Linked DNA regions of Caenorhabditis elegans. The protein of the gene in region 2 interacts with the protein of the main gene of each other region in a pairwise test. Each region holds a gene or a part of one and is shown on either strand. Other genes may lie near its edges.

The links.
Region 1: the proteins of gipc-2 (region 2) and F48D6.4 interact in a two-hybrid assay, tested with the Caenorhabditis elegans proteins (one large-scale study listed by BioGRID).
Region 3: the proteins of gipc-2 (region 2) and F19F10.1 interact in a two-hybrid assay, tested with the Caenorhabditis elegans proteins (one large-scale study listed by BioGRID).

Annotation. Positions count from the first base shown.
Region 1 is NC_003284.9:4,245,968-4,248,960, forward strand, and holds F48D6.4 (28S ribosomal protein S36, mitochondrial), read right to left. Parts: upstream 1,217-2,993; 5' UTR 1,168-1,216; coding exon 1,100-1,167; intron 1,050-1,099; coding exon 921-1,049; intron 878-920; coding exon of another isoform or gene 870-877; coding exon 770-869; 3' UTR 590-769; downstream 1-589.
Region 2 is NC_003282.8:10,025,861-10,029,388, reverse strand, and holds gipc-2 (PDZ domain-containing protein), read left to right. Parts: upstream 1-1,722; 5' UTR 1,723-1,774; coding exon 1,775-1,809; intron 1,810-1,863; coding exon 1,864-2,161; intron 2,162-2,205; coding exon 2,206-2,946; 3' UTR 2,947-2,976; downstream 2,977-3,528. Other genes in the region: msd-2 (MSP domain-containing protein), read right to left, coding at 1-306.
Region 3 is NC_003283.11:7,561,499-7,564,985, reverse strand, and holds F19F10.1 (ETS domain-containing protein), read right to left. Parts: upstream 1,740-3,487; 5' UTR 1,731-1,739; coding exon 1,485-1,730; intron 1,322-1,484; coding exon 1,167-1,321; intron 973-1,166; coding exon 741-972; 3' UTR 590-740; downstream 1-589.

The DNA.
Region 1 (2,993 bases), on a different chromosome or scaffold from region 2:
CAGTTATTGGAACATAATATGAAATTTTTATTTTGGCACCATAGAAGTGATTTTTAATAATTTTCCCACTGGCGCTACAAAATATTATATCAAAATGTTGTTGCTGAAAAATGTTCTGAATGAAATTTTCGAGGTGCTAGTGGTACCTCATAAAACATTTTTGTTGCTAATTTGAGGTAAAATATACATTTTTCAAAGTTCTGAAATTTTCGACGAGCATTAAAAAAAACATTCAAAAATTGAGGTGCCAACTTGTTGTTACTACATTTTGTTGGACAATTTTATCGAAAAATGGTTCAAGTTAAAATGTTAATCTTCCAAATTTTTCTCAGATGACATCCGAAATATATTCTGCAAACTTTCATATCCAGACAACAACCGGTCCCCCGTATTTTCGGAAGATTGCGAATTTCTCTCTCAATTTTATCTTTTCAATCCCTGCTGCCAACAACACAACACACCACACGTGTTGCCTTTTGTTGCCGATGAAACCTGATAAATTTTCAATGGACTTTTATCCAACACTTTCACACATTTGTTATAGTTTCAGGTTTTTTCATGTGTTTATGTCTTTATCGGCAGCAGTCACCATCAAGTAGTCGTTTATTTTCAAATTGTACATCGGCAAAAAATCACAAATAGAAACAGTGTAAAGTGTAAAGCAATGTGTTTTCAAATGAAGAGAGTACAAATGTTCCTACTCTAGTACAATATATTAATTAATTACAATCACATCTTGTAGATGATAGAAGTTGGGAAAAGAAATTATTTAAAAACGAAGGTTTGTGAGCTTTAGAAAAGCGCATTGTCGGTCTTGTTCTTCTTTTATCAACTTTTCGCAGTTCAATTGAATGAAGTCGTCACTGTTTCTGGAACACTGAATAACCTAGGGATTTTTGATAAACTACAGCTATACTTACGGGTTCGACACTTTTTCGGTTTTTGGGAATCCGAATTTCAAGTGTGTCGATTCATCGTGAATTCGGATGTTCATTTTTGGCTGGTCCATCATTTTTGGCTCTGCTGGGCGGAAGGTGGCTGAGCTGATTCTGAAATTTTCAATGGTTTTTTAAAAAGATTTTTACTATCCAAAACTTACGCTTCTCTTGTCATGAATTGGTTGAAAACTGCAGATTGAGCAACACGGACAAGTTTTGGAGTCGACATTTTCAAATTGTTTGTGTGTATTTGTGAAACTGAATATCAGGTGGCTGATGAGAGGCTCAGTCTTCAATAGCCTGCTTTTATACGCGATCTACGCCAAAGAGGCGGGGTGGCGGCTCCGATTATCGGGGCGAAGACGGCGAGGACAAAGTATACGATCGGTGATGGGAAAGATAAGAAATAGTGTGGGGAAGCGGTGGAGATGCGACCCGGCCCCTTTGGTGGGAGTATGAACAGGTACTCTTATTATTATGTTCTCCAATTTTGGTCATTGTTTTTGACAAGTGATGTCATGCCACGTAGCAACAACCGAAAGTTTGCGAGGGGAGTAAGGTCCGAAGTAAGGTCCGCAGGAAACAATGAATGAAATGAAGGGATCATAGATTATTAAGGGAAACTGATAAGGCACAATGAAAGGCAATAGTAAATGATCTAAAATAAGTTCATGTTCACATTGACTAATTGGAAACTGAACTATAGTCAGAGGAATATTGTGATGTCATTAATTCTTGGATTAATTTTCTATTCAACTGATTGGAACAGGTTTTTTCGACCAAAGATTATTTATTATCACTGAAAAATGACCCATAAAGTGTTCGTTGGGTGTTGTCAGAAAGCTAGTGGAAAATGTTGTAAAAAACTAAGTTAATAAACTAACTGGTGATGTTGGAAGTTACCGAACGCGGAAACCTTTGGCACCTGGCAACTGTCGGCTGCAGGAAGTACGGCAACTTTGCAACAACATGGCATTCAAGTTGTCTAAGCTTAGATCTTTTGTATATCATATTTTTGTCTTTTTTTCAACTTTTCGAAAAACATTTCTCACAAATACCTGAAGTTGTTCCTCAGAAAAAATTGAATAAATCCAACAAAGATAATCGAAAAACTTTAGATTTAATGTTTTCAGGTCAAGCTGATCTTCTGAATATAACTTTTTTTGCGCCCACGCTTCCAAGAGCCCAGAAGCTTAGACACTTTTGTTTTGTATGAACAGTTGAATTTAGTACTGTACTTTCATGCACAAACTTTCAGATTTAGAAGTGAATTTTTTGCCATCTTGCAATTCACGCCTTTTGGAAGGTACAATAAACATGATTGATGCTAGAAAAACGTGGAAATTTGCTGGAAATGTTCTATGTGAACAACAACGCGTACATCTGACCTGCAGAGAACAGGTGTCACTATTTGGACCGTGATCTTGGCCACCGATCTTTTGAACCTTCTCGACGAAAACGATTTTCTAATAAACAAACATCATTTGTGACTCTAAAAGACCAAGTATAAACTGAAAATTCGTCACATTTTATAAAAGAAAACAGTTCAAGTAAACGCGGAAAATATCAGCGTCTGTCAACGGCCAGTGGAGTTAATTCGAGGACATGTTGTCAAGACCCCTCACTTCTATAAATAGTAATAATCTTTTGTTTACATTCTTCCAACGGACAATTTAATATTACTGTATTGATAAATGATGGAAGTTGAGGACAAAATAAAACAATGAAAACGTCAAAAAAGGTGTTTTGCCTGTAATAACTTTTATCTGTAAAACTTGTGTATCAACAACTCTCGGTTCGAGCGAAGATTGCTTCCCAGAAAACACTTGATCACAAGTGCGATGTTGTGGAAAACAATTCGAACCGGTTCCGATTTTTCTCGATATTTTTGCAATGTAGTCGCACAATAAAACAAATGTGTCTGGGTTTTACATTGAGGCTTCAGTTTAGAATGTTTTTAGAATGTGACAAGAAATTGAAGAAAAATTATCTTGTTGAAACAAATTAGGATAAGAAGATTTGAACACTTGATAACATTAATTTTACATAATGAAG
Region 2 (3,528 bases):
TGTAATGGTTCCAGCTGGAGTGATGGCAGCAAACGCAGCTTGGGCATCAGTTGCATCAGCCGGAGCAGCGGCAAAGTGAACAACAAGCTTGTCTTCTTTTGGTGCTCCAGCAGTACGAGTGATTGTGATGTCCTTTGAACCAGATGGATCAACGAATCCGAATACCGGAGTGATGCGGTATTCGTTGTTGTTTGAAGACTTGATCTTGAAGATCATCTTCTCAGCTCCAGCATTAACAAGTTTGTGGGTGGAAGCACCTCCAGCAGCTGGAACAGTGCACGCTGGTGGATCGGCCGTCAGAGACATCTTTTTGAAACTTTATGTTAAAGTTGTATAAACTGAACATATTACCCTTATTTATAGCAGTCGTTATCAAGATGAACCAGTGACCTTTCGTGAACTTTTGATTTTAAATATTTTTGTAAATTTAAAAAGGTTTGTTAATATCAACTGTCTGCTCCCTTTTGAAAATATAGTTTTTTAAAAGTTATTTACGCTCTCGAGAAGACGTGGAAGAGGTTAAGGAAAAAATAAAAATATAGAAAAAAAAATATTTTTGTAAATTTAAAAAAGTTTTTTTTTCCGATGTATGTAAGGATAAAAATAAATAAGTCATTAAATATATTTTTCTATAACATGAAAAATTCACCGCTAACTGGCGTCAACTAACAATGACGTGTTTAGTTGGAATGTCAATTTCAAAGGTTCGGAATTACTTGAGTTGTGGACTAATAGACACTAAAGAATAACTTTGAGATACGCGATTTTTGCCAAAAACAGAATGTCCACCTTCGGCACGACTAATTTTGAATTTTCGAATAACTTATTTTCATATATTTCGCCTAACAAAACATTTTTGTATGTAACAGAAATGTGTCGTGTGGAGACCAGATGTATTTATGGAGCAAAACTTTGCACATGATTGTAAATAATAAATCAGTGATTTAAAAAATCAATTTTAAATCAAAATGCGGAGAAATGGGCGGTAGGCAGCCAGGTAGGCACGTGGGCCTCAAGAACATTTTGTTTTTTCTTCTCAACATATTTTTTTGTCAGATAATTTAAAATTTATTTATTACAGTTACGATTGTTTATTGTACATGCATGAAACTCCTAACAATGCTTCTAATGTTTTGCGAGTTTTGAACGATGGCTTCTCACTTATTGGAACGTATGTTTTCAGTTCATTACTCAAATGAAGTAAAGGATCATATAGCTAACTAGAAGTTCTAAATTTTACATCCTTCACTTTGTTCGGCTCCTCCGATGAGTACATCACCCTCTTTGAGCTTATGAACAGCAGGAGTCTAATATTTTCGCCACAGACTTCTGAGATTTACGATTATACACGTCCCCGGGTCCCGACACGAGTGAAACGTTTCATCAAGCCTATACTTTGCCAAAAAAAAAATTTTTTTTAATAAGAAGTATCAAAATCACGGTAAGTATCAAGAAAATCATGCAAAGTCAAAGATCAAAGAACCCTGGATTTTGAGGCAAAAATCTATACATTTTTTCCGAATTACAATTTTACTTGTTACACGTGTTTGAGTTTAAAAACAGGTAAAAAAAGAAAGCATATACATGAATAAATAGAAACGAAAAAATATTCTAAAGTTATATTTTTTAATGAACTTGCTCAGCGTGGAACCCCACTTTGGTTGGCATCCAAGCTCCGCCCACATCAATGTCTATAAATAATCAATTTTCTGGTAAATCCTTCATTCATCGATTTACTCGACTTACAACAACTAATTACAACTAACTCTTCGCAATGCAAGGACAAGGAGCCCCATGCCGCCGTTCTAGGTATGCATTTCATGAGCCCGAGTCTCAGATCTCAGGTTACCATGAATATTTCAGAAGCCGATCAAGATCTCGTGGAGCCTTCAATCGTCGCTCCAACTATGGAGAAGCTCATCCAATTCAGCCTGCCGTTTTAGCTTCAATTGTCGAAGAACCATCATCTTCAATCATGCCAGTGGTGAACCCATTGATGGTTGCAGCAAAAGAGCTCAAATTTCCCTGCCAGTTGGCTCATGGATCTCCAGTTGCAATCATTGACAAATGGAACGATATGGAGGAATTGTACCAATCAATTGCTGATTTCTTTGCAATCTCAAAAGACGATATCATTTTCCTGACGGTTAATGATTTCAAGGCAAGCTTTGATACTTTAATTCCTCTAATTCGAAATATTTTCAGCCAGACATGAAGAACATGTTCAGTGGAACACTCAACTTCAAGGATATGCTCTTTGCACACGTTCGCGGACAAGCAACTGAGCTCCGAATGGTCAAAGACGCCAACGTCTTTGGAGTGACAGTCACTGACAACGGACTCGGAAATGCATTTATCAAGGTCATAAGCCCAGGTTCGGTGTTCGATCGTATGCGTCCAGCAACACAAGTTGGTCAACTCATTGAGGCGATTAATGGAGAGTCTGTGCTCGGTAAAAGACATTACCAAGTTGCTCGTATGTTGAAAAGTATTCGTCGCGGCGAGGAATGTATCATTCGATTGATTGCTCCAAAGAGTGCGGATCCAGGAACTATGAAGATGACTAGGAAAACTGGCGGAGATTTAGCAAAAGGAACCATTCGTTTCAAATCGGAAGGTGGATTTGCTGTTGAAGATATTCAAGATCAGATGATCCAGGCTGAGATGTGCGGGAAACTCAACGAACTGTTCGACCAATATTTGGGAGTTCAAGATGATCAATTGGCCATGAGAATATGGGAAACTGCCTCAAACTGCGAGACACTTTGGCAACTCAGTGAAGCCATCAAACAGTCGGAGCTCTCAATGTTCGAGTTCCCGGATGGATTGGTATTCGACATGTGGGGAATTATTGGTGATTTGAAACGCGAACAACGTGAGAAAAAGCCAATGCCAGTCATGAAGAATGCTATTTCAAGACCATCGGCTATGAAACTCTTTGACTAACTTGTATTGTCAAATAAATTATTTTTCTTGTCCTAGCTGAATTTAATTGTTTCTAAATCAATTTACTATATATAAAGCGCGTGTCGTTCCGTCACTATGTAGTTTGATCTCTGATCATTTTGGGAAACCTTATGCTAAATACGCAGCAGACATCGATCGAGGTCCGCGATAGACACCGTACATCTAATGTGCTTTCTCAAAAAAGTCGAGGGCCGCGCCGTAGGTGCTAGATTTCAACTTGCAATTGTATTCTCTCCAACAAGAATCGGCATTCTAGAGGTTTCCAATGATTTTATTTTGATGAAACGCTACAGTACTCCTTTTATACAATTGACCAGCCGCTGACCGCGCCTCCGGCGCGGCCAACGACTGGCGAAATTTGAAATGTTTGACACATCCCTGAATTCATTAGGTTTTTCTATAAAAAAAAGTAAGCAGAATTTGTTTCCCTGCTGCATGTGTTTAAGTTTTTTCGAATATGCTGAAAGATTAAATTTTGAAAACCATCACACCACAACCTTAAACAAAGTACAGTAACCCTACAGTACTACTACAGTACTACTACAGTACCTTGACATTATC
Region 3 (3,487 bases), on a different chromosome or scaffold from region 2:
AAAATTTCAAAGAAATTTTTGTAAAAATAATTCAGCGGCTACATGATGCAATAAAAATTGGCTACACAAAAATTGGAGTTGTTTGTGAGATGAAAATTGCTTTAACACAAAAGGTTGATTAATCTTATTCTCTTGTATAAAATTATAACAAGCGCTGTACATTTCCCAGATTCAAAAAATATTCATTTTGCATGTCAGATCTCAACGTCGGCCGATGCTCCTTTCTCTAGTCAATCCAAAGTCCAAAGGTTTCTTTTCTATTGTCGTTCCCCTTTGGAACAGTATAGTTCACAATGTACCAACATTCCTTTCCTCCTCCCAGTTTATGAATCTCCTAATCCATCAAATTTTGTTCTTTTAACTTTCAATATTATTTATCCTTTTCTGTCAAATTATATTTTACATTTCTTACTTAAGACGGGTCTTTCTTATTTTAAGTGTTATTCGATTCATCCCGATGCTTCTTTCTTTTATGTATTACATTTTGTTATATCTCATCTTGATCCGAATAAACAACAAATAATCTTCTTATTTTGGAATGAAATTCCAATATTAAAGCATTTTAATTGGTTTATATATATTGACCAATTTCTGTTAAAATTATTTATTATTGACAACAATTACAATTGCTTATTTTCAGGAACCGTTGCGACAGCGTGAGTTTTCAAGTGTCACTTTTCAAAAACACTACTTGCAAAAAAAAAATCAATTGTCAGAACCTATTAGGAAATTTAGGAGTCTCACACCAATGCCGGAAACAAAGAGGGGAAAATTGTCTTAAAATTGAAGAAAACTTGAAGTTGTGTGGGTAGGGGCAAAGTATGGAACATTGGGTTTTGAGACATAAATGTGTTAAATTGAACAAGGTTTTGAGTCAATTGCACAAATTGTGATGGATCCAGTGATGATTCGGTTGTTGTTGGCGAAGATGGTTCTACTGAAGATGCACTCGATGTTGGTGACGATGTCAAGCTGAAAAATAAATATTCAATCTGGAAAATTGAAAGACTAAGAAATCCAGTCAATCATGTCGTGTTGTAGAATTTGGTGAAAGGTGAATTCCTCGCAGTAGCAGCATAGTCGAGCCAAATGACGAACCTGAAAAAAATTCCCCCGGGTCCCCCAAAGAAAAGCGCACATTTCCTCAAAAATTTCCCCCTTCATACCTATTATTGGAAACTTCGAAATCTGAAATTAGATTTGAAATATTGAACAAAGGAGTTCTTTTGACTGGCGTCTCAAGTTCAGTTTTCATGGAAAAATCTAGGAACGAATGTCTTGGAGAATCGATAAAGCGATAACGAGCATCTTTGCCTGGAACCTGGAAAATTATTAAATTTGAATTAGAAAGAAACTACTAAAAATTTAACAAATATCTAGGTTGAAGACGGTATCCAAATTTACATGAATTTATCAAGCAAGTAGCGCAGTTAACCAAAAACGCACACATTTTAATCCTAAAATTCAACCGCGACTCAACTAACCTTTTCCAATGTATTGTTTGTGTAGAAATAACGAAGTCCTCTTGACATTTTGTCATAGTTCATTCCTGGATTACCCGTAGCAGCTCCCCACAGCTCGGCAACCTTGTGTGGCTTGCTCATCTTGAATACCGATTCAGATTTGTCAAACCAATAGATGATATCTGAATTCGATTCGTCTTCAAGAAGGTCACGAAGGAAGCTCAGAAGACGGAGTTTTCCAGTTGGGGACGAACGTTTTGATGACATTATTGAAATCTGAAATTAGTTGGGATTAGAAAATACATAAGTAAAAACAAGGAAACACGAAGTCATAAATATGAGTAAAAACCACGAAAACAATCACTCTCTCACAGTTTCTTATAGTTTTACAATCAGTTCTAATAGACCGCCGGGGTTATGTGACAATGCGTTCAAACGGAAATGGTTTTACAGCCATGGTGAACAGACGACTGCTGGCAATAATAAATAGGTGCAGAAAACAACTTTGAATCAGCAAATAATGAAGGGAGATCAGGAAAATTGGAAAACAAATAGTTTCACTGAAAAGAGAATAAATCGAAGAATTAAAATTTCTAAGTACCGGAAATGTAAACCGAAAAGAAAAGGAAGTCACTGACTCGGTAACCACAAACTAGCTGGAATGACTGAAAATGGTGTGGTATTCATACCTGACTGCTATGCAAAAAGAAAAAAAGGCGGACCTTTTGTATTCTTCCGTACCGCCAAAGAGTCGGTCGTTTGAACTGGAGATGTTTTGGTGAGAATATGGGGGAAACATCCCCTTTCATCTTTGTTGGGCGTAGAGGAGGCAATGTGGAGCTGCAGGGAGAAGGTCTGGAATATTGATTGGGGTCACATACTAGTACAGGGATATAAGACGAAACATATGAACATACTGAACTGAATATAACTAGGAGAACTTTGAATGTTTGATTAAAGAATCTTTAATGCTTACTTTACGAATCCAATTTTGACAGAAACATTCAAAAGGATGTGTAAGCTCACTTCAGAATTTTTAGATAAAACGTATAATATTAAAACAAAAATTTGATACAACCGTAAATAAGACGATCTGAATTTTTTTCGGGTCATTTTTTACAACAATGTGAGCTCTCGGAAATTGTTCTGGACTTCATAAAATCAGATAGAATTTCGGCGGAAACGTTCGAACAAAATAATGACTAATTTTTATTATGGGCTTCTAAGTTATTCCATTCGAGTCTTTGAAATATAATACTTTTTTGAAACATCACATCTTGTGATATTTTCACCTATTTAGGAACTATTCATTATTTATTTTATTTTATGTTTTCACAAAAAAACTTCATGACAACTTTTAGAAAAGTTTTTCAAGTGTCACAACCGGAAATTTTACATGATTTCACTGGAAGATATTTTAGGGTCAAGAAAAAATTAAACATTGGTTTTATTATGGTTCAACTGTTAAAATGAATTGTATTTGAAATTATTGTTTGTCATAGTCCCGTTTTAAAGTATGGTTAAAGTTTTAAAATTTCACCAAGACAATAAATTGCAATTTTCAATAATTTTCAGGACTTCCCCCAAATTGAACAATTCCCAGTTTCCCATTTTTGCCAAATTATGCTGTTTGAAAATATATTTTCACTTCAAGGCTCAACATTTGAAAGAAGCAAAAGTTTAATCCAAAACAATTCAAGTGAATCCATGTATCGGCTCATTGACTTTTTGAAGCATATTTTTTAGTACGATGAATTTCGCATTTTCTTGAGCAAATATAAGAATTTTATAGCTTGATAGATGCTACTGTTATTTGTTATTATCTTGTATTTAAACGCTTCTATCGGAATTCCCGTGAGTGAACTTCCGAAGTCTTGACGTTATGCATAGGTTAACTGCAGAATTATATGATTGTACTCAACGGAACAATCACGAATAATTCAAATTGTACACAATATTTGTCGGTCTACACCAGTTTTGTGAACTGTACTGTTAAATGTGGACAAGACGATAACTGCCAGGTA